Drosophila melanogaster: one gene and its partners. The gene in region 3 interacts genetically with the main gene of each other region. Each region holds a gene or a part of one and is shown on either strand. Other genes may lie near its edges.

Region 1 (4,994 bases), on a different chromosome or scaffold from region 3:
ATTTGTTTGATTTTTGTTGTAGCCTCTTTTGTTATTTTTGTGATTTTTTATTTTTGCTTTGCGCAATATTTTCACCTTGTTTTTTGTGTGTATTATTTTTGGCTTTTATGATTTTTTCTTTGTTTTCGTTTCATTTTCTTCATTTTTTTTTGTGCAATTAAACACGTTGAAGAAAATATAAAAAAATAAATGGGCAAGAGTGAAAATGAGCGAGGAAAAAAATATACAAAACACGAAAAAAATGACAGCTTAAAAAATTGTCTTTTTAGCCCATGCAATTTTTATGGGCAAATGTTTATCCTGTGTTTTCTATTTTACGACTGCGCGTAATGGAATTGAATTGAAAGTGTTTTCTTTGGTCGCGCTGGAAAAACATTTGCGGCACAAGATATTAATTATAAGCTTTTTAGTCGTTGCTAGTATTTAGTGCTAACTTTTAAACCAAAGCATTTGGTGCCTTTTTAATTTATTATCGAGCTACCTTCTTCATATTAACTATCTAGTAATGTGGAAGAAACTTTAATCTTAGTTTTAGTTATTTTATAGTAACTAGCTTGCATTTAATTCAAATTGCAAACAGCACCCCTATATTATATTAACAGTTATCCTCTTGGCACCCTTAATTTCATAAAAAAAGGGGGTCCATAGACCCTATTCAACTGCCACCTTATTCATCTTGAAGTCAATTCAAATCCAATCTGCGCGATTCGAGGTGGTATTCGCAGGGCGAGCGAGCGAGATAGCTGCTGTGTGGGAGTGAGAGGGGGCTAGGGCGGTACAAAGGGTCGGGCAGCGCCCTCATCAGCTGTCAGCGGCAGCAGAATGAGGCCCATTTGATGAAGATGTTTCTGCAATTGTTAAGTGTATCTGGGCCCTTTCGATGTTTGCTGTTTGCTATTTGCTATTTGAGCTGGGAAATGGAAGGAGGCCACAACACATCAAAATTATACTCGATATGTTAACAAGTTCAGATACAAAAGAGATGACTGGTCCCAAGAGATGCCAGAGATAGCCCACATAAATAAGTATCTCGTGGCTGGTGGTAGCTCGTATCTCGTGTCTTGTATCTTGTATCTCGTGTCTTGTATCTGATGGATGCACCTATTGACACCCAATAAACAAGGCGAAAACAGCAGCTGCGACCGAAGTGCTTTGATTTATTTATCAGGGGCAAGAAATCAACGTTGGGTGTTTTTTTTATCAAATCTATCTAATTATACATAAACTTTTACTTTTTTACAGTACCAAGATCAGTTTGCAAACGAAAAAACATTGGCCAGATATAATTTGAGGCATAAGCCTCGCTTTTTTTGTTTCCCCCAATTGTTTCACATTTGGTAATGCAATAATTGAGTTAATTAGCCAAAAAGGGAAAACACTGTTTCACAAATGGATTAAGGGGACAAAGATGCTAACTTAATAAGTGACTTGTTAATTATCCGTCGGCGGCTGCATCTGCAACTGTCTCCCTCTCGCTCTCCGTCTCTCCACTTTCTCTGTCGCACCTGCAGCTGCCGGTAAAAGCCAGCTGGCTCCTGGCTATCCCTCTCCCTTTCACTCGTTCGCCCCATCTCACTTCCTCACGTGACTCCTTTGCGTGTACCGTTCACCGGATGGTGGCCAAAAAAAGCAAAAAGCCACGACAAAGGAAAACTTGGCAACGCGTTCGAACCTCGAACATGTTTGCTGCACCTGGCTTTATTGTTCAAAAGGGTGGCTTAAAAGGGGGAGGCGGTTTGCAGGGGGGGGGGGGGGTTTCTTACCTTGGCCAGCAAGAGCCGGCTTTTCGAAAGGGGTGCAAAATGGAAAAAAAGCACACACACACAAACACACGCACAACTAACACAGCGGACTGTGCACATGTAAACCCTCCGGTAAGGAGGCTCTACCCCTTTCGGTTTTTGGCCAGGCCGGCACTTTGCGAATCTATAAAAGTATCGGGCCGCATAAAAAACGAGCTCAGTTGTGAACGGTACTTTGTAACGGCAACCGGCGGCAGCACGCGCAACTAACGGTTCACTGGAAAAGTAGAGAAAAACCACCGAGGAAAAACTTAGTGGAAAAGCACCGAACATTCGTACCGTTCGTAGCATTTACTGCTCGGATCGACTGCCGCAGTAACTTGTCGCTCATCCTCGAAAGAAATAAAAAATAGAAGCTGCAACCAGTTCACATAATCCTGCCCCCCCCGGATGGCCTGCACAAGAGTCAACCATTTCATCACCCCCCTCGGTAAGTCATAACACCCCCCGCCTAGGATTCCCACTCTCAATCCCCCATCTATTCCATATCTCACCCACGGAGATCCCGGCAAAACCCCCCAAAAAAATAAATCCATCGGCTTAAAACTTGGCAAAACTCAGCTCCAAACTCAACCATGCTGAGCTGAACGTATTTGACTAGAGCGAGCACTGCAAAAAATAAAGGTGTACTTCATGGTGCGAAAAATTATCGCACTGAATATATAATATTCTCTTTTACTGCCGTTAATATCCATCCTCTATTTATAACAGAAACCAATCTTATTAGTTAGCCATCGCAGTTTTTGTTTTCAGTGCATGTAAATCTGCATCTGTCAGTGCGGCAGCAGCTTCAGCATCAGTATCTCTGTCTGCTTTGTATCTTTTGGGTTGTAAAAACATCTGTGCTTGTCGTTCGGCATCCGTATTTGCTGCCGTTTGCAACGGGCCAACTGCAATGCTACCAACCACTCCCACCCACCCAGCCAGCCACCAGTCGCACATTGCGTATACGCAACGTGGAGCGCGGATTTAACTAAAAACCGTTTGCGCCCGAGCTGTCAGCAAATGGCAAGCACTTTCCGTTGAAATCTCCCCCGGGTCACCCGGTTTTTATATATATATGTATGTGTGGGCTGCCCTGCTCCATTTTCGATATCTTTTGTGGGATCTCGGACAAGTGCTACTTCTGGCCAACTTCTGGCCAGAACTTCTTGGCCAGCTAGCTACTGGTTGGTTGGCTATTCGATTTCCATTGTCTCTTTTCGAATGGAAACCCATGTGCGTGTAGGCAGGAGTGGCCAACGATCGATGGAGAGGGTCTGTCTGTGCGTGTGGGCGGTCCTCGGAGCTCCCAGTTTGGCCATCCATCTTGCCACCAAACCCACCAAGTTCGTGTGTCTCCAGGGCGAGAAGACGCCACATTTGGCTCACTTTTGTTTACACTTTGATTTATTTACGCAGCCTCGAAAAGTATTTCATTCAATCGCAACGATGCGAATTTTATTCACTTTCCGAAATTTTTCTATTCTCGTGAAACTTTTGCTAAACATAAAAGTGCCAAAGTCTCGAAATCGAAATGGAAATCAAAACCAAGATCCGTTTCAGATGCACAAATCATGGACAAAATGACAGGGGAGTTGGGGCTGCCTTGGGCTTTTGTCACTGGTGAAGTTTTTGTCGAGTGCATGAAAATACGAAAAAATTAATGCGTTGGCTATTCTTGAAAAAATCATACGCAATGCATTTTAATTTTTCGTGTCTCTTGTTCGTTTTTTGTTTGTAAATATATAGTTTTTAAATGTGTCAAGTTTGCTTTTATACGCGTCAGAGTGAGAGAGGCAACGCCGAAAATAAAAACAATATAGCGAAACAAACAAAAAAAAAAAATGAAAAAAAGTCGAAAAAAGACCCAAAGACCTGATTTCAGGGTGGCTTAGTTTTGTTTACCCATTTTCGGGCCACTTTTCTTTTACTAACGTGTGCAGAAGTGAAAAAGTTTTAAAGATATATGGTAAAAAAAAGTTTCCCAAGTCATATTTGTATCAAAGGAAAGCTGTGAATTAAAATTACTATCCAAGTTGTAAGACTTTAATTACCATTTGCTTCCGTTTGCTGAACTAAATTTGGCCAAAACTTCTGACTGCTATTAAATTCAGCAACTGATTTGTGTCGTTCTCCCCCATTTTCCAGCGCAGAAGTCAACAGTTTATAGTGTTTAATCATTCTTAAGCTGTCTCCACCTCCGCACCACCCCTTCACCCCTTCACCCCTTCACCGCTCTTCCCTTTTGGATCACCTTTGACCTTCATTAGTGTCAGACCCTCTCGCATTCGCATTAATCTAGGCAGACATTTCAAGTTGAGCTGTTGCAAGACAATGGCTCAAGCAGTTTTGTAGTTTGTCTTGTCGGCCAAGGTGCACACGCACACACTCCAGATACAGATACAGATACATTGATGGTATCTTTGAGATACTCACTCGCACAAACGCATACAAAATAGAGCTCATAAATCAGTGCAGAAGCGAAATAGTGTGTAAAAAATTGTTGTGCAACTAGGCTTTTCTGAACCAAAAATGTTAACAAATATTTTCAACTTTTAAGCTAATCAATTTAACTTTCAAATAACAAGTATATATGCTGCTAGTTAGTGCTTCAGAAATTGAATAAATTCCGTAAGAAATTGCCGGATTATGCAACCATTCGAAGTTGCACCCCCGCCAGCCCCCACTGCCCACCGACCAGCCACGCCCCCGCCACGCTGAGGCGCCCCAAAGTCTCAAAGCGACACAAACAAAGAACTCGAGTGGCGTGTGTGTGTGTGTGTGTTGCACAAAACCGACGCGAAACGAAAAGTCCGAAAAAACAACACACAGTCGGCTGAAGGAAAAACCTTCGCGGCGGAAAAACAAAAAATAAGCAGAGCAGCGATGTGAAAAGTTGAATGCCTAACAACTTGAAACACGCTAAAAATGCGAAAAAAGAGATCCACACACAAAAAAAAAACAATAAATAAAGAAAAACAAAAGTCCAAAGATGGAGCACACAATAACTATAACAACAAGAACAATGAGTCGGAAAATGTGGAAATGTCTTGGGAATCTTGCAAAATGGATGAAGCTGCTGACGTTGTTGCTGCAGTTTGCTGAATTAGATAAAAGTTTAGGAAATGTTTATGCTCGAACTAAGGCGCAGATGAATAGCGCAGGAACTCCTTTTACCAAATACCCTCGATGGAGCAGCCAAGGGTGCAA
Region 2 (7,913 bases), on a different chromosome or scaffold from region 3:
CAACTAACCATTACAGTTTCCCCTTCGACGATGGGCGAGCTAAACACGGGCTTCGCATGCTTGTGCTCAACGAGCTGTCGTATATGATTGATGGGCACTTTGCGCGTGAACTCCTGAAGCTCCGGCTCGAAGAGATTGAAAATTACCTCCCAAGTACGTTGGAGATCTCGGCAGTCCAGGTATACGGCTGCAATAAGGGCCTCCAGAACATCCCCCAACGCCTTTGGCACATCCACGTTTGTGGACATGTTGAACTCACCTTTTGGTGGGACTCCTTTCTCTGCTTCCTGAGAAATGCATTTATTTGCATGCGGTAACTCAGTCATATCCAATTCGTCATCCAAGTCCAGCGGAGTCGGCTGAACATCAGCTTCCTCGAGCAGAATGCGCACATAGTTGGTAACCCGGTGACCCTGGCTCTCCTGGAAATTCACGAATTTGGATATGATCTCGGAGAGCTTTGCGTTCTCCGCTAGGATAAAAAAGTGCAACCGATGCCGCACGCAAATGCAGGCCAGCGTAGTATTGTTGACCAAAGCGGAACGCAGATCTGTGAGGGCGCCCGGATTCATTTTCGTATTGTTCTCGAAAATATAGGCAGAGATTAGAAAGTCGAGTATGGCATCGCCAATAAATTCCAGCTCCTGATAGGACCCAGTGATGCGATTAGTGGGATACGAGGGATGGGTGAGGGCCTGCAACAAATATCGTCGATCCTTAAACGTGTAGCCAAGATTTTTTTCCAAATAATAGTGATTTATGAGAAAGCCGTCAATTTCTGTAGTATTCACGTTCGCCCGCATTTTCTTGCCGCCCAGTTCGAGGTTCAGTAACTGAGTAAGCGGCTTGTCAATATCCGCACGGCAAATCTTGAAGTACTCTAGCATCTTGAAGGCATGCTGCAATCCGTAGTTCTTAACGATTACGCCCAATAGCGCCTCAAGGGTATCGGCTATCACCTTGTTGGGAATCGTGACCAGTCCCACGCAGAAGTTCACCTCGGATGAAAAATCGGCACCGGCATAAAAGGACTGCCCATTTGCTCGACATCCCTCCACGAAGCGGTTGTAGTTGATATCGCTGCAGTTGCCCTTCACCAGGGACTCCTCATCGCCGAGAGCCAAGTCACGGAGATTGTGTGGGCCAATAATCTTTGCGAATTCCGGATTTTCTCGCCACAAGGCTAGAACATTGTGGGGCAAACTGATGCCAGGTGGAAGCCATGTGTATCTAGGCGTAAACTGAATGGTGTTGAGCGTTTTGGGAATGTCCGCGTCGATGAGGCAGAACAACAGGTTACGATTAGACACAAGCTTGGATTTGACCTCTGTAAGAGTGCCCTCATTCCAATCCGAATACTTGCTGGCCAAGTAGAGCGTGGCACTAAGTTTTAAGAAGGAATCGCCCAGAATCTCAAGGCGTTCCATGTCGAAAACATCCGCTGCGCTCGAGGCAGTGATTGCAGCCAAAAACTCGCCCTGCTCCGCTGGCGTTATATGTTCTTTGGAAACAGTTTTTTGCAAAATGAGCAGTGGTTTTACCTTCCCGCGGACAGTCGGTTTCGACGGCATCAAAGCTGGCACGTTTGCGTTAGTCTTGGCCGGAGTTCTGTTGCCATAGATATTACCCGTGGGCATATGGAACTGATTTTTTGCCCAGTATTCCTTATCTTCAAAATCCATCTCATTCATCTCACATACATTACCAACGCTAAAATGATAGTAGTAGTCCAGCTCTACGGGATACGTACTCAAAAGATTTCGCGACAGATCAACCGGCTCCATATACTTTTGCCAGGGATTTTCGAATTCTGTTATTTCAAGATTGGCCACGGACGCCTCAATGGACTTTGTGGGCATTGGCTCTAAAAGGGATTTCGGCTCCTCGATATCCTCAGTTGGTATGACATTGCCCAAGGGGTCGACATTCCGCTTTAGCGAATAATCAATTTCTAGTGGTCTGGGCATGTAATCAGTTCCATTAAAAGGCAGCAGATGGAGGTTTAAATACGTATTAAATCGCTTACGTAAGGCCTCTGCGTGGAGAAGGAAGTACATGCGGTTTAAAATGCTGGGTAGGAAGATCAACTTAAGCCATAAATCCCCAGGAAAGTTAAAATTGAAGCATAGCTCCGGAATCAAAATAACTTTCATCTTAGCCTTGCTCTTCGCGTTGAACTTTCCACGATTATGAACGTAGAAAGTGAGCTGTTCCGTAAGGTCTCTGACCTCGATCATAAACTTATCCTTGTGAACAACATCACCAATGCGGTTGCCGTACTTTGACATGGTAAACTCGTAGTAGGTCTTGTCCTGTTGGTTCTTTTCCATATAACTTAACGGTGTTAGCTCACGGTGCACCTTTGTGACCAGCATGGGCTTATCATAGTTGGCATACCATTGTGTAACAATTTTGCCCTCAAAATCTTCAGGACGTGGAGCAGGTTGTTGCTCGCGTTGCTGTACATTTGACCCATGACTTTGCGGTAGTCTTCGGAAGTTGGTCATCAGTTCCCAGTCAAAGCATTTCTGTTCACCCGCACCCAGTATGAGAGGAACTACCAGGTAGGAGTTCTCCTTGCTGCGACGATCCAGCACAAAGAACGGATGCCAAATCTTCAAGATATCGCGGAATACCATTCCGTGAAACTGATGGAGCAGCTCCAGCTGTTCGGAGTTCTGGATAATTACTTCAAGTGGTGCATTGGCCACTCGAACGTGTAGCTTACCCTGATTGCTAAACAGGGGCATCTCTGCAAGGCGTGGCAGCTTGTTCCGCAGCAATATAGCATAATTTCTTGGTGTTTGGAGATTTAAATACATGTGTTCCGTGTACTCACACGATTCAAACTGCGGCTCCAAAAATATTTCGTAGGCATAACAGATTTCACCTACCCGCGGAAGTGCGTCGTAAAACTCTAATGGACATTCGGTCTTGTAGGTTCTGTCCTTGCTCTTATCGGCCTTGTTGACTGTCGCAGTCACTATGGTTGAAAGATTAATATAAGTAAACATATCTTATGCGAGTTCTTGTGAACCCACCACTATCGCCATACTTATTCCAGTGCTCAAAATGAACATCAGCAATAGAGGCTACGCGCTCCTTTAATGTTTTGGGCACGAATCTCTCGTTTAACTCTCCCAAACTGTAGAGTACTTTACACGCTTTGAAGGCAGCTGATATTTTGGCTGTTTTAACATTGTCCATGGGATCGCTCTGAAAGAAATGAAAGCAATTAACTCTATTTGATTTTGCCATTTTCAATCTGAATCTCTAGCTTACGTAAATTGTGTCTCTTAGCATGCAATTTACTGGCATGTTGATTGAAATTACGTGCTTGCCCTTGGCAGAAACACCAAATATTCTATCACGTTCGTCTTCTTGCAATACATGGAACCAGGGGATCACAAAGCCAAAAGCATCCGTGGGAATTGTCTGGCAATAGCGATGCAGTATGGCCAGGGCATTGTTGGGAAGCAACACGGCACCGTTCTCATTGGTAAAAGGGTCAATATCGTCCTGGAAGTGCCCTTTGATTTCGTACAATTCTGGCTCAGTTTTTTCTAGAACTCGATCCTTTAAATATTCGGCAATGTCATTATGCGCTTTTCGATACTGATAAATTTGCTGAATTGTCTTTTCCCTTTCCTTATCAGCTGTGAACAGCACGAATTTGGCCTCAGTGGTACGAGCCCGACCCTTTGACTGCACGTACATGTTAAAGGTTTTAACAGGATCAAGAATAAAGACATGATTGCAGGCCTGCACATCGATGCCTTCTTCTAGGACGCTTGAACATATCATAAGATTGGCATTACCGTCCCGAAACTGCTGAATGGCCTGCGAGACGGTAAGAGCATATTTTGAAAAATATCAGCAATTAACGATAATTTCCACACCTACAGATTTTTGCCATTTTCTCTCCAAGACGCTCTCAAAGTCTGGAGAAATATTGTTGCGGCCCACCATGAATTGGGGCGTGAGCACGTTTCGCAGCTCAGGCGTAGACTGGATGTAGTTGAGCAGCAAGCCATAGATGCACTTGCAGGTGTAGCGGCGTTCAACAAAGACCAGACAGCAGATATCTTTGGGATCTTTATCAGCGAAGGATACCTTAAGACTCATCAGGAATCGCTGCACTTTCGGGGTGGAGAAGTTCATAATGACTTCCTCAGTGTTTACGTTGTCATCGTCGTCGTCATAAGTCATGTCTTGCAGTTTTTGCACCAGCAAGTGACGGATTTTCTCGCACAAGGTCAAGGCCGTCCTATGCATCAATTTCACGCTTAGCGTCTCGGCCTGGCGCCTCTTTATATCGAACTCAACAATTAACGAGATTATGGCTATGGAAGCTGCGTAGATGCCATACTCTTTCATCTGGTACAGAAAATCGTTGAACAGTTGCTTTACAAAGCTCTTCTTCGACGGATCCCGCAGGCATTGCAATGACTTTGACCTTCGGATCGGTTGAACGCCAATATTCATGAGGTCTAAGGATACATAGAACTTTTCAATTTCTGCGCTTATTAACCTTGTAACCGTGAGCACTTGCTCTTGATGTGGAAAGGACACCATGACCTCTGTGGGCTTGGTGGCGTACCTGAAAAGAATATGCACTTGTTGGGAAACTGTAGCTAAAATGCCACCCGCTCTTACAGCATCACGTTTTCCATCTCCTTGGTGTCGGACACGGTAATGATGTTTCCCCGATATGTGATCTCTAGCTCTTTAAGTTTCGTGGCCACGTTCGTAATTTCATTTCCCTTGATTAACACCCCGGTGAGACCCACCACGCGCGGCAATTTTGTTTGATTAGCGATAGTGAACAATCGCATGAACTCACGAAATGGGTGGTGACCAGTGCCGTGGTGGCACTCGTCTATGATGACAACGCTCAGGGAGCTTAAAGCCACGTACGTCTGGGTGACCATGTCCAAAAAGACCTGGGCTGTGCCAACAAGAACCTGTTAAGAACCAAAAATTACACATGTAGGTTTAATTCTGGAAGCAGTGTATTATTATTAACTATAAATATTCCTCGAATTACACTGAAAAGTCTAACATGAATTCAATGTAATAAAAATGACCATCAAATCTACTACTCGATGATCCAGAACAATCCACAAACTCAAGTTAATTTTAAATAAACAAATAAAATAAATAAATAAACAAATAAACATACTACAAAAAAAAAAAAAAACAAATAAAATACATCAATTGACGAAATGATGATTTTGTGATGGCTTAGCAAAACACGACCCCTTACGAGCCCATAAAAATGCTGATCCCAAATTTTTCGACTCAAGTGGTGATCGCAATTGCAGTGTGTAGTGGTAGTGTAGTGTTTAGTCCGTACGTGATCATATGCGTATATAAAAAATGCCTCCGCCATCCTATACTCACTTGGTTTTTTTTGATTTCATCACTCCACATTCCGCGCGTCCAGTCATCCACTCCCTGTTCACCCACATAAAAGCCAACCTTAAAGTTGGTGCACCGCCTGACGGCCATCGCCTGTTGTCGGGCCAATTCCACAGTATTGCACATGAACAACGCACGCTTTCCGCCGCTTTCGATGGGTCTGTGTAAACAAATCGGAATCCGATATAGGTATTACATATAATAATATATATATAAATGTAAGTATCGGATATAGGTAATACATATAATAATATATATATGTATATCCATTCGCTACTAACTTGTCAAAGTCCTGCGAGAAGCGCTTTAGGACCAGGATGGCCACGAACGTTTTCCCAGATCCTGTGGGCAGGTAGACAATGCCATTGCTCTTCGTTAGGTGGTCAACCAGGCGAAGTTGATAGCCGCGAGGCTGGAAAGGATTTTGTTAATTATTTTGCAATAAGCGAGAGCGCAAGCCAATTCATTTTACCTTGATTTCCACATCTTCCATATCTTCGCTCTTGGTTACAGAGTCTTCGGGATATTTTGATATTACAATTTGAAGTCAAATAATTTACGATTAAAGAACAAAGAAGCCGGTGACAGAGTGGCCAGCGGCTCTTATAAGATGCCTTGTGTCAAACGTATTAAGAATTGTGTTTCAAAACGGACTGGTCACACTACGCAGTGCGGTTCTTTGAACTTAAATTATTACCACAAACCGCAACATAAATAAATTTGTTTTGAAATGCTCGCTGCCAATAATATACCTTCCGGAAATAATAAACGTTTCCATTTTTATCGAAATCTGCAACAAAATAATAAGCATTTTCGGTAGTGTAAGTTCGTGAATTATTTATTATTTGAATTCTTAATCAATACCAATTGTTAAGAATATATCACATCACTTTTTGACCCATACTATCCTTAGATCATTTAGACCTTCGTTTGCAGCCCTCCTCCATACGAGTAAAGTTTCTTATTTCCTCATTTTTTTCCAAGACTTAAAATCTTGTCAAACTAATTAGAATTATACTAATTGAGTCTAATTAGAACTACACTGACGGAAATGAACGAAAATTCAATCGGGTAGTTTATATACATGGTGATTCTACTTTATTGATTATGCTCTTCACTTCTTATACATAACATTTTCTTATTGGCTTAAGGAGAATATGAAAAAGTATCGCTACGACTAAGACTACGCGACATCATCACGTCTGGCTCTTGTCATCACTTTTGACACCCTTTCCTCCGGACAGCAGGTCCTGGATTTCGATTATTGTCTTGCCCTTGGTCTCCGGCACGAAGAACAGAGAGTAGAAGAAGGCGATGACCGCGATCGCGGTAAAGATCCAAAAGGTCGGACCCGGCCCGATCGAGCTCTTGAGGATTGGGAAGAGCAGCGTGACCACGAAGGCCGACAGCCAGTTGCTGGTGCCGGCAATCGATCCTGCCACACTCTTCACATCCTCCGAGAAGAGTTCCGCCATCACCAGCCACGGCACCGGTCCGAATCCAATCGAGAAGAAGATTATGAAAATGCAGATACTGCTGATCGGCAACCAACCGAAATTGTCCATTGAAGCCGGATCGTTCTCCTTTAGCTGAAAGTACACGCCCATCAGTGCAGTGGACACGGCCATCAGAACGCCAGAGATAAGGAGCAGGATGCGACGGCCAGCCTTGTCGATAATGGCCACGGCAACCAGCGTGCTGGTCACTTGGGTGACTCCAATGATAAGCGTGGCATCGCTGCCACTTATGTCAGAGCCCGTATCCTCGAAAATGGAGGCGGAGTAGAAGAGAACGGCGTTGATTCCCGTCCACTGCTGGAAGACCTGCAGGAGCACAGCGATTCCAAGACCCTTCAGGACGATGGGTCGACGAAGGGAGGACAGAATGTTGACCTGCAATAAAAATAAGACCACGTATTATTTTCTAATCTTCACCAAAATCAATGTATTTATTAGGTATGATAAGTAGTATCTGCTACACTGATTACTAAATGGAATAATGGAAACAAATTACGTACCTGTGTTCATATGTAGTTTAACTACGAAATCGTTTAAGTTTAATGCAAACCCTATCTTGGTTCAAGTTATTGAAAATCTTAATGAATGAAAACAAAATATTATATACTATCTGAATTTACAACATTTCTTTTATCAGGGTAAGTATATGTATGTATCACTTCCGATTGTGTGATAATGGAAAGAGTAATAAATCTGTTAAAGCCCTGCGAACCCTTTATAAAGTTTCTTTATGCCTTCAATATCGATCGATTTTGATTGATTGATTGATTATTAGTGGAATGTTAACTAACCTGTGGCATATCAATCTGCTTCTGGGACTCCTCCAGGATCTCCTTGAGCTCGTCATCGATATCGGCATCCTTGCCGCGCAGCCACTGCAAGGCCTTGGCGGCATCATCGTTGCGTCCCTTCATGGCCAGGTAGACGGGTGACTCCGGCATGAAGAAGTGTATGATAGCAAAGATTACGGGCAGA
Region 3 (7,670 bases):
CATTTTGGGTACATATACACATACATATATACTAAGCATGATTTGCTAATGCGCTCAAACGCGCAAAATGTCCAAATTAGAACTATTGTGCGAATGGAAACAGCAGAATGTTTGTTAAATAATTAAATGCGAGTGCAAGACAAATGATATCGATCGTTTCAGTGGGGCATTCGTATGGAATGCAAATAGTTTCAGATTAAAATCCTAAATGATTCGCATAGGGAGCACAATTTCCACTTCTTAAATCGACTAGTGCATTTTATGAATATCTAGATATATAAATTATATAATGCATTTAGTAATAATACGTCTATTGAACTTAGGCTTTAGATATTTAGATTTCGCAGTTTAGAGAAGAAGCTAAGTTAGAACTTTGATTTTATAAAAAATAGATATCTTTGAGCTATATTATTATTTTTCAAATATTTGTTATTTTAGCAACAGGTGTACTTCAATAGTTAACGTTCAAACATTTAAAATTTCGATCATTTCGAATTTTAAGGCACGTTCATTTAAATGTAATTGAATAATTACATTTTATTTTAATATTGTTTGCAAACTTTTAGTTTTTGTAACATTAGCTACAACAATCGTGGTTAAATAACATAGACACAATTATGTGGTATATCGTAATTGTTAAACAACTGGAAGACATATGTAATCAAAGTGGTTTAAATTTCCTTTGCCCTTTTTTTTTTATAAATTGTATTATTACTTTAAGCTTTAAAAGAGAAAATAAAAAAGGTAAATGCTAAATGATTGAAATGCTGTTTGAGTATTTGTGCTAAGAGAAAGGTCTAAAATAGTTTTCCAGATAACATATGAAAGTGGTCTATTTTCTTCAGTTAAAAGTCTTTAAGAAGATTGTAATATAATACTTATGAAAAGCTGATCCTGAAACTGAATATCAAATGCCCATTAAATTGATGCCAATTGAGCTGTTTATGAATTGTTTCTATTTCTAATTTTGGAATCAACTTAATGTACTTAACTTTTGATGGTAAAACTGGTAAAATGGAAATAGCTCAAGTTCCCTAAATCGAAATCAAATCAAATCTGGTTTGCTTATGCTTATAATGAGGTGACGAATAGTTAAAACATATTCGTATCATTCTATTCTCCTGAATCAATCTCACGCACAAATACAACATTTAGAGGACAACAGACTTGAATGCTTAGTGTTATGGAAAAGTGTACAAATTATACGGATTACATAAACTTGATTTCAGTTCCAGGAGTTCAGAATTCATTGTTACCATTTGAATACTCATTGTATAGTATGAACTAACCATAACTGCTGATGTGTATAGAAAGTAATCTAAATCTAAATCATACGTTTCAGATCCTAAGCTTTTTAGACAAATTACAAGTGAGAGAATCAGGTTCATAGTTCGATGAAATGTTCTTATGTACAAGTTGTTGATAAATTGCTTTTGCGAATTAAGTTCGCTTTCCTTTTGATCTAGCGCAATTGTTTTCGCAAACACTCGATTTGGAATCATTGATATTGATCCAGCTAACTCAGCAATCCTCTTACGGTGCGGTAACATTTGCTATCTTAATGTTGATCAGCAGGGACGATAATTCCAGCTCCTCGCTGAACTTATTTCGTAGGATGACGCTGCGATAGCCCTGGCGAATGCAGGTCAGCGGATAGCACGCCTGGGCGATGAAGTGCGTCTCGGCGAACATATCCTCGTCCTGCACTTCGAAGCGAAGGATCGCAAACTGTGGATTACGCACGTTAAACTCGCACGATTCATTCCACACCGGATTGAAACCATTTTCATTGACTTTGGTGCGATACTTAACGCCCGTATCAAAGCTAGCGCCAATCAATTCGACCACGATCTGCGGATTGTTCGATTTGCCGCCCCGGAATAGATGACGTGCGGCTATCAGACGTATGCTAACTTTAACTTCGCTTAGGCCATCGCACAGCGGATTGTTCGGATTGAAGCTGTCAGATTTCATGAACGATGGCTTTAAGATATAGCCACATTGTCCATTATTCCGAAACTTGGCCTGATTCAGCTGCATGGCCTTATCGCCTGTCTGATAGTTCAGTGCGATCATCTGGGATCCAACATTCCAGAATGGCATGGGATTAAAATTCGACGAGTCCAGGCGCTGACCCTTCGGATACACTCGGCTAATCTGATTGCGATGGTAGGAGAGAAACAGTTGTGTGTTCTGCTGGAAGAACTGCTTTTCGGCCTTCGTTTCGGGGAAACTCGACATTTCCTGAAATATCCACGAGTGCTCGCGGAACGGCACGCTGCGGAAGTAGATAATCAGATCGGACATCTCCTTGGCCACCCGGGCAGTGCGCTCCTTTTTCCGCCTCTCCGATGCCAGCTGACTGGCGATAAGGGCTGCCTCCTGGATTGCCTTTATCCACTCGTACGCCGTCTCCTGATTGTCGAAGCCAATCACAAACGGATTCTGCATCGTTGGCGTTTGTATCTGCAGCTTGAAAATAATCCCCGGATCGTTGGACTCAAAGAGCGAGGCAACAGCTCCGAAAATCTCAATGGAATCGGTGCGTCCATCCGTGCCCTCTTCGTTCAGCGAATTGTAGTCCTCGGTAGTTGAATCGATAACCTAGACATTGGAATTTTCAAGAGTTGAATATAGTTGAATTTCAAATAAATCTATATATGCATCTCACCTTAACGTAGTTTGCCGGCAGATGCTTCTTGATCATGCCACCATAATCTCCAATCCACCACATCGAGTTGTCCCTCTGGACATTCGTTATGATGGCATGCTTGGGAAAAGAGAGTTCGTCTGGCTTGTTCGCCTTATAGCTGTAGAGCGCCTTGCACGTGACATTCTCCTCCAGATTGGAGCCCATGTAGTTGGAGGCACCGTTGTCATCGTGACCGCCACTATGATCACCCTGTGCCGCCTCCGCTAGCGCCTGACGCAGCAGCTCCTGCGACACCGGATGGCTGAGCTTAACATTGCGATAGAGTGGATTTCGGGTATAATAGTTGATCAGCGAGACCAGAGACTCGAAGTTCATTGTATCGATGCCGTACAAGCGTCCCTCCTGCATAATGCGACAGTGCTTGATCTTTCGATTGATTGTGAACGAAATGACAAAAGCGTTAATGCTCTGCACCGATGGCCGCACTAGAAACGAACCAATTTCCAGCCGGTATAGACCCTGTTCGGCCTGCTCCTTGGTGGTGTTCGGATGGAACCACTCCTGATCCTCGTGCTTTTTCGGCTGCGGAACTGGCTCTTTCAGTATAATCGAAAACTCTGAGCTACGCAGCATATTCTTGCGATAATAAACGATCAGTGAGTACAGTGAATCGAATACAAAATTCTCCACTAGATAGTACTTGATCGATCCATTTTCATGCTTTAACTTGATGCGGCAATGATTCGGGCGATTACGTCGCCAGAACGAAAGGCTATAGTCTCCCACAAACGTGGCCGATTCCCGAACCAAAAATGTACCATCGCCAAAGTGTTTGTACTTCTTTAGTAGATCATCAGCCTCCTTTCTGCCACCTAAAATGCAAATTGTTAACGAAACAAATGGAATATACTGCATATATGTCAACCAATAAACGCACCTTCAAGTTTCCCATGGAACCAATTCTCGCCGAAGTGCAGCTCATCGTTGGCCGAGGTATCCTTTTGCTTTTGCTGCATATTGCTGTTTAGGGAGCACGACGAAGAAAGCCCAAAGTCATCATCCTCGGAGTTTCCGTTGCGTGACTCGTTGATCTCAGAGGAGTAGATTAGCTCCTGATGGGTCAGAACGAACTGATAAAGATTCCAGGACTTATCGACCGGATCCTTGAAGTAGAGCAGTCCCTCCTTGAACACCTTGCGCACATTCTCGCCATCGTTCTCCCCATGCGCTCCACCGCCCGCTCCGCCCAACGATGATCTATGGCCCAGTGAACCCGTGCTAGAAATCCCATTCGCGATGTCGTCAAACTGCGGCAACTTCTTGTGCTTCAGGATTATCTTGCGACGCAACTGGTATGGCGATGGCAAGTGCTGCTCGTTTCGATCACAAGGTTGCGTAAGCAGCATATCCCCGAAAACCTGTAATGGGTCATAAAAGGTATAAGTCAATGGATTTTTATGCGATTAATACTTAAAGCATCAAGAAATATCTAATTACCATCGTCTTGAAATCTAAGTAACTAAAAATATTGCTCTGTTACATTTATAATTAGATTCAAACGAATAAAAAGCGAATTCTTCATATTGTCATACATATTCCCAACTATCGAAATATACAAAATCCATTTCAATTATATATTAAGTTAGGCAATCTCACAGAAAGCCATAAAAGAACTCATTATTACAGCGAATGAATCAAAAAGCAAACATGCAGATCTCCTGTTTGCATGGAATATATAAATTGTTGTTATTAATAGATTCGATTAGGTCAACTTACCTCGATCAAGGCCTGCGCCATATTCCGCTGCTGTTCCAGGGAGCAATTCTGCTCTATGGACAATATTACCGGATACTCGGAACTGGTGAACGCATGATCCTTAATCGTCTTGATGACATCCATGAACTTGATCTTGGAGGTAATGGTGTGGCCGTGAAATATGTAGGGCAGATTGTCGGGCCCGTTCCAACAATCCAACTCGATGCAACGGCAGCCCATGCGAAGAGCGCGGGCGTAGGCCTCGCAGGAGGATTCACTGGAGAACTGATCGCCCGTCAGGTAGGTATTGTGCGACGATGCGATCCAGTAGGAGGACAACGGCAGGTTCATGTCCATGAACACTTGGTCGTACTTGCTGTTCCACAGGTCGTTTTGCTTGGAGAACAGAAAGTCGACGAACTCCGGGAAGGTGAGATACGGCTCCTGAACATCACGTTCCACGTCCTGAACAAAGTCCCGAATGAAGGAGGCAATGGCTGCGCTACTGATCTCACTGGCGCTCACATCGCGCTGTTCCGTCTCGAGGAACTGCTTCAGCTCCGCCGGTCGCACCACCTGTTGGTCCTCCGAATAGGGAAAGTTGGCCACTCCCGATCCGGACAAGACGCTGGCAAATCCGTTGGGCAGCAGCAACTTCTGATATAGCCGCGAGAAATCATCAAACTTGAGATCGTGCTTGCGCCGCACATCCTCGGTAAAGTGCTCCATGAACTTGCCGGTGGTCATCTTACAGCTAACTCCGGCCAAAAAGAGCTTAAAGTCCTTAATGGTCACCTGGGCTGGCGACTGTTCCGTGGCCTTGGCGGAATGCGTGTTAACATTCTCGATTTGATAGTACTCGCGACGCAGCCAGCGATCAATTTGCAAGGGATAGGGTGCTCCCAGTGTGTCCTTAACCATGTAACGCAATCCCCGCACCCAATTGTCGGCCTCGATCTCCGACAGAGCCACCACCGAGAAGCTCTTCAGCTTGAAGTGATTGCCGTGCAGTATGACAAAGCACTTGCTGGACTCGAAGCGCTGACAGTCGTCGGCAAACAGGCGAAACTCCTTCGAGTGCTTGCCCACCCGTATCTCGCGAATCTCCCGCAGCTGTATGGCGCCCTCGTAGTCGGTGCGTGGCGTTTGTGTGGCCACCGTTGCCCAGAGCAGCTGTCGTGTCTCTCGTATGAGCATCAGGTGGCGGCGATCCGGACGACGCTGTTTCCCATACAACTTGGTCACGATGGTGCCGCGCTCCAGCATACCAATGGTCTGCTCCATCTCGCCCAGCAGCGGGGCACTCATCGCACTAAAGCAGCTCATCCTGTCCGGTCCAAACGTGTCGATTCCTATCGAATCCAGTTCTCATCCGCTGGCTGCCACAGGTTGTTTCTCGCCTCGCCAACCGATCGCCAGACTAAGTGCAATGCATACAAACTATGGGTGCCAGCGCGTGGAACTATTCGCAGATCAACTGCTCCCTCTCTTCCAACTGGTCGATGCACAAATCACGGCCACTGGGACTCAATAAACCGAGATTAACAATGCAATATCCGAATTGTACCCAAAAAATACCACAGAAGCAGATAAGATAAGCCAGCTGTTGAGGAAAGTGCCAGTGTTGCCAGGCCGTAATGTGGGTACAGAAAATACTAAATCCACGCAAATGGGGCGTTCACACTGCGGTGTATTTCGAATTGTGAGGAAATAAAAAAATAAATTGACTATTTTATTTAAAAGTTTAGCTTAAAAATTGCTCCATTGTTTACATACTTGAATAACTGAAATATTAAAGTGTGACCAGTTTTATCTTTTGTTTTGAAGTGCGATTCAAAAATTCGTTATGTAAATAGTATTCCTAGTTTTGAATAAAGCAAAACTAAGCATACCAACCAAATCGAAGAAGCTTAAAGCTTTTATTATAACTCACCTTATGTAGATAGGAAAATAAATCCCGACCTGAAGAATTCCTAACTAACTAACTTGAAACCAAACGAACATAAGTTTTCTTGATATTGTATTTAAAATAGATTTACAAATTAATAAGCTTAGGCAATTGACTGATTGTTGTTGTCTGCTTTTCTACCTGTTCACACATGAACACGAATATATTTAAAGACTTACAATTTTGGGCTCCGTTCATATCTTATGTAAATGAATCGAGAGCGATAAATTATATTTAGGATTTTGTTATCTAAGGCGACATGGGTGCATTGCTCAAAAACATGTAATTTAAGTGCACACTACATGAGTCAGTCACTTGAGATCGTTCCCCGCCTCCTAAAATAGTCCCTTAGTGGGAGACCACAGATAAGGTCCTCGCCGCTCAAGATAGGCAGATGTGCCCGAGCGTGGGACCTCGATAAGGCGGGGACTATTTACTTAGGCCTCTGCGTAGGCCATTTACTTTAAGATGCGATTCTCATGTCACCTATTTAAACCGAAGATATTTCCAAATAAAATCAGTTTCTTACAAAAACTCAACGAGTAAAGTCTTCTTATTTGGGATTTTACATTTGGTCAATCGAGCCTTTAATCGACTCTGCAGTTTCCCCCTACCAAAGGTAAGGAACTCAGAGAAAGGCCAGCTCCTTTAAGCATCTTACAGCTAAAGGTAGCAAAAATAAGTGACTCTTGTTTCCCCCTACCAAAGGTAAGGAACAGAGTATAAATATAAAAAGCAAAAGATACAAAAGAATCTTTTATGTTTTAAAACAAGCACCTTATAGTCTATAGCTAAAGGTTGCTTTGTGTACCATTATAAATTGTGGTAAGGCGTGCTTGAGGCCATACATCAGCAATTGTGAAATTAAAAAGTGCATAACAAAAGTGCCTTATAAATGCTCTAATAGCATTAAATCAGCTCATAAATAGAGTGCAGTGTATATGCCATAAGAGCATAAATTAAATAAAAAGTGCCTGAAAACAGTGCCTTATAAATGCTCTAATAGCATTAAATCAGCTCATAAATAGAGTGCAGTGTATATGCCAAAAGAGCATAAATGCCGAAATAAATGGCTAAAAAACAAAAAATCTGACTGGACTACAAAAATAATAAAACGTGCAAAAAAAAAAAAAATCATCTTTAAACATCGACGGAGCCTTAAAGAAGAGAAGGAAGTCAAATTCAAAGGAGCCTCTACCAGCAGCAGAAGCAGCAACAACAGCAGCAGCAGAAGCAGCAACAGCAGTAGCAACAGCAGCAACAACAGCAGCAACAGCAGCAGCAACAACAACGACATCAGCTAAGTCAAAACAA
Region 4 (4,263 bases), on a different chromosome or scaffold from region 3:
CGGGAAGGATGGAGAGAGGCCGCAGAAGACGCACCCGAGAAGAGCGAAGAACGTTCTTCTCGGAGGGAGAACGGAGATTCAAGATTCTAATGGGAACACTGACAAATATTTGGGTGACGCAAACATAACCCCACTTACTCCTAAATCAATGAATCGTTATCTGTTCACCCTCTCTTTTTCTCTCCCTCTCTTGCACTCTTTTTGCTTGTCTGTTTGTTTGTGTGCGCGACGCGCCTGATGAACGGTAAAATCGGCAAATTAAAAACAATTGATATCAAAAGTGTTTAATTGAACATGGTTGGTCATAAAAAAAGGAACACAAACACCAATGCAAGTGCATTATTCTAGAATTGAGATACGACGGTACATAGATACATATTCTAGGGGCGCGCACACACCGACGCACAAAAACATTAAGTAATATTTACTCAGCAACGACAAAACGCGCATGAGGTTGCACGGAGCGGGGGTGCTCAGTTTCCGGTGGACACAATAACAACAACATTAAACACGCACAATGCACTTTAGTTAAACAATCAAATTGTACAATAATACAAAAAGAAATATCTCTTTTTGCCCAGGTTTAGCCCATTAGACCAAAGCGCTGTTCTAGCTGTCGCATTCACGCACGCACTTGCCCGTCCCGTTGTCCCGCTCGCACTTGTGCGCGGCAATGCGGCGCTTGGCTGTTGGAATTTACCAATATTCCAATATGGCGACGCAAGCCGCCGCTACTGTGCGAGCAAGAGGGCACGACATGAATCATGCTCTCGCGCTCTCCGCTCAGCGCCTCTCCCCATTGGAAAGAGCGAGAGGGCCAGAGACACGCAGCGTTGGAGCACCATTTGCAAAAAAAAATCGCTCGCTCGCATGCAATGACGAAAATTATTTTTATAACATCTCCTAATTCGCATGGGGAAAATGGGCAAGGACCGGGCCTTACCTTGTCGCAGAGGGTGCGAACTTGTGTCTCTGTCAACTGATTGCATTCGTTCAACTGCTCAATCCATTGATCAAGATCTTTTGTTGTTGCTTTATCCTCCATCGCAGTTGTGGTGGAAGAAAAAGTCTCGTCAATCTTTGTCGATTCAATTTTGACGGCTTTTATTATAACTCAGGGGTGCAGGAAAATTAGCAACTACTGTTGCGTTCGATTGCCAACCGCGTATTCACTCGTTTATCTCCACACAATTGCCAATCGAATCAACTCGATTTGGGCGATTTTCTTCGTATTTTTTGTTCACAAAAGAGACGACGACACGATATACGAAGGGAAAGACTGCCCTCGGTGTGACCGATTGCCGCGAAACGCTTAAGAACGCGCTGTGTGTGTGTGTATCGATTAGCGATGCATGCTTGACATTTCTACAAAAATACCGACTAAAACTTGTGGATGGTATCCTTACTATTTGGCCAACAGTTACCAAGTAAAACTAGAAAATAAAGTGGGATCAACGCTCACCGTTTTTTTTACATTATTACGTGATAGTGACAAAATAAAAGTATGTACATAGGCATTTGGGCAACAAGATATTGGGATTGTTTTAAAATCCTTTAGTAGTCTTTTCATAGATGTGCATTAGCGTCGATTATTTCTTAAATAATAGCACAATTTGTTTTAAAACTAAACTTCAATATTTCTGGGGTTCTTTAGATATAATAATATTAATACTTGGTGTAAAAGTATTTATTTTTTTTATATATATTTTAAAGTTTTTGATATTATTATTTGACGTTACATTTTACACGTATTATTTGTAACAGAAAATTCAAACTATCGATAGTTTTGTCCTGTCCAACACTGAACGCTCGCTGACAGTTGGCATCTTAGCGAGCACTGGAACCGGAACTGCCTCTTTTTCTGCCAGCTTGCAGCGCCTTTGGACGTGTTTCCTTCGCGCTCCGTAGCAAATAATATAAACTCAAGATGTCCGAGACCCTGCAATTGCGCGGTACCCTCATTGGCCACAATGGATGGGTCACCCAGATCGCCACCAACCCCAAGGATCCCGACACCATAATTTCGGCCTCCCGTGGTAAGTAATCGCCATTGAAATTCTTCGGATTTATCTGGTAGCACGTGCGTATATTAATGGCCACCATCTCGATTCGCAGACAAGACCCTGATCGTGTGGAAGCTGACCCGCGACGAGGACACCAACTACGGCTACCCCCAGAAGCGTCTCTACGGACACTCGCACTTCATCAGCGACGTGGTGCTCTCCTCCGATGGCAACTACGCCCTGTCCGGATCCTGGGATCAGACCCTTCGCCTGTGGGATTTGGCCGCCGGCAAGACCACCCGTCGCTTCGAGGGACACACTAAGGTGGGATAAGATTCCAATTGCATTTAGTTCGTTTAGGGAACTGAGATTTTGAACCGATCTGTACCGGCAAAAGGCTAAATGTAAGGTTAGGAGTGAGGTTAGGCCCGCCTTTGCCGCGTACAAATCGAAAAAATATATATTGCGCCTATGCGAGGCAGAATTACTGGTTGACATCTGTACGACGTACGCTTCACCCTTCGCTCGAGTCTCGGCTATAAATTGCTTGAAGCTCCATCGTAAGTAGGCAAACAATCTCTGATACCCATTGATTCCTAATTAGTTGCAAGAAACCCATCTGGATTCCGTTCACTGACTAATTGAGTTGGGACTATGCCCATTCAGTTGGTCAGTGAAATATCCAGTAAATATATTATTTTTATGAAAACCATACCAATACCATTAGCTAATCGTCAAATGCTTGTTCGCTTTCTAGGACGTTTTGTCGGTTGCCTTCTCGGCCGATAACCGTCAGATCGTGTCCGGCTCTCGGGACAAGACCATCAAGCTGTGGAACACCCTGGCTGAGTGCAAGTTCACCATCCAGGAGGATGGCCACACCGACTGGGTGTCGTGCGTGCGCTTCTCGCCCAACCACTCCAACCCGATCATCGTGTCCTGCGGCTGGGATCGCACCGTCAAGGTCTGGAACTTGGCTAACTGCAAGTTGAAGAACAACCACCACGGCCACAACGGCTACCTGAACACGGTGACCGTCTCGCCCGATGGCTCCCTGTGCACCTCAGGTGGCAAGGACTCCAAGGCCCTGCTGTGGGACCTCAATGACGGCAAGAACCTGTACACTCTGGAGCACAACGACATCATCAACGCCCTGTGCTTCTCGCCCAACCGCTACTGGCTGTGCGTGGCCTACGGACCCTCGATCAAGATCTGGGATCTGGCATGCAAGAAGACCGTTGAGGAGCTGCGCCCCGAGGTCGTTTCGCCCACGTCGAAGGCCGATCAGCCCCAGTGCCTGTCCCTGGCCTGGTCCACCGACGGCCAGACTCTGTTCGCCGGCTACTCCGACAACACCATCCGCGTCTGGCAGGTGTCTGTTTCGGCTCACTAAGCTACTGACCTTTGTAACGGGCGTCAAATTTGTTTAGCTAAAACAAAAATAAAATTTAAGCGTCCTTAACTGAAATTTGTGTATCTTGTAGCGGCTGAATTAGTTTTAACTTTAGGCTTTGGGCTATAGAGTTTTCTCCGGATAGATGGGAATAGTATAAACAGTGGGACAATTTAGTTTAGGCAGAAGATAAGTAAATGTTAATAAAGAAAACATTTTATATAAACTTTAATCGAAAGTGGATGTTTTTAATCCCTAAACTACAAACCAGATCATTTCATTGAAATCCAAAACGAATAATGTTGAGAAAAACAATTAGAAATTGAATTTAAGTAGCAAAACGAAATGTTCTCGTTTCGTATGCATTGTTTTATTCGTAAAAACATTTCGACATTTAGAAAATGTTTTCTTTTACACGTATAACAAATAAATTAAATAAATAGTTACGTGATGATGTTACCCTGACTGAGTCAGTGACTGTGATGATTTTCGTGTGCGAATTGGAAAAACGGAGTGCACGGCAATGTGGCGGCGGATGCAAACATATTTTGTTTAAACAAAACAACATTGACTAACAAACAACCTTAATATTAAGACAAATGATGAACGCATTTTCGAGTGATGAATGTGTATGCATGTCTGTAATGGGATGAATGAACGCTGCCTTTGGACAAGTAACAAAAAGGTCAAAAGGTATTTAGCAAAATGCCTAACTAGAAAAATTCGGGCACTTTCGTTTGTTTTTCTTGGGGAGAAGGAAATTTTTAGGAGAAAAGCTGAAGAGCATTTCTTAGCAGGCACTCTTATCTATCGTTTTTCATTTGGTTTTGATTGAATTCGAGCGTTGCACAACTGCAGGCGCAACTG

What was found.
Region 1: of sl (region 3) and ru, changing one suppresses a phenotype caused by changing the other (phenotypic suppression), as found in Drosophila melanogaster (one study listed by BioGRID).
Region 2: of sl (region 3) and Dcr-2, changing one enhances a phenotype caused by changing the other (phenotypic enhancement), as found in Drosophila melanogaster (one study listed by BioGRID).
Region 4: of sl (region 3) and Rack1, changing one enhances a phenotype caused by changing the other (phenotypic enhancement), as found in Drosophila melanogaster (one study listed by BioGRID).

What each region holds. Positions count from the first base shown.
Region 1 is NT_037436.4:1,368,649-1,373,642, forward strand, and holds the start of ru (roughoid), read left to right. Parts: upstream 1-1,979; 5' UTR 1,980-2,232; intron 2,233-4,994.
Region 2 is NT_033778.4:17,575,513-17,583,425, forward strand, and holds the start of Dcr-2 (Dicer-2), read right to left. Parts: upstream 6,014-7,913; 5' UTR 5,915-6,013; coding exon 5,894-5,914; intron 5,834-5,893; coding exon 5,703-5,833; intron 5,582-5,702; coding exon 5,404-5,581; intron 4,965-5,403; coding exon 4,657-4,964; intron 4,601-4,656; coding exon 3,904-4,600; intron 3,841-3,903; coding exon 3,283-3,840; intron 3,217-3,282; coding exon 3,042-3,216; intron 2,984-3,041; coding exon 1-2,983. Other genes in the region: CG6484 (uncharacterized protein), read right to left, coding at 6,618-7,313, 7,730-7,913.
Region 3 is NC_004354.4:16,348,650-16,356,319, reverse strand, and holds the start of sl (small wing), read right to left. Parts: upstream 6,006-7,670; 5' UTR 5,735-6,005; coding exon 4,430-5,734; intron 4,072-4,429; coding exon 3,591-4,071; intron 3,526-3,590; coding exon 2,672-3,525; intron 2,605-2,671; coding exon 1,534-2,604; 3' UTR 1-1,533.
Region 4 is NT_033779.5:7,824,834-7,829,096, reverse strand, and holds Rack1 (receptor of activated protein kinase C 1), read left to right. Parts: upstream 1-1,850; 5' UTR 1,851-1,927; coding exon 1,928-2,036; intron 2,037-2,115; coding exon 2,116-2,327; coding exon of another isoform or gene 2,328-2,336; exon of another isoform or gene 2,337-2,563; intron 2,564-2,760; coding exon 2,761-3,396; 3' UTR 3,397-3,750; downstream 3,751-4,263. Other genes in the region: mts (microtubule star), read right to left, coding at 944-1,045; CG7115 (uncharacterized protein), read right to left, coding at 4,214-4,263. UniProt on the Drosophila melanogaster protein: Involved in the recruitment, assembly and/or regulation of a variety of signaling molecules. Interacts with a wide variety of proteins and plays a role in many cellular processes.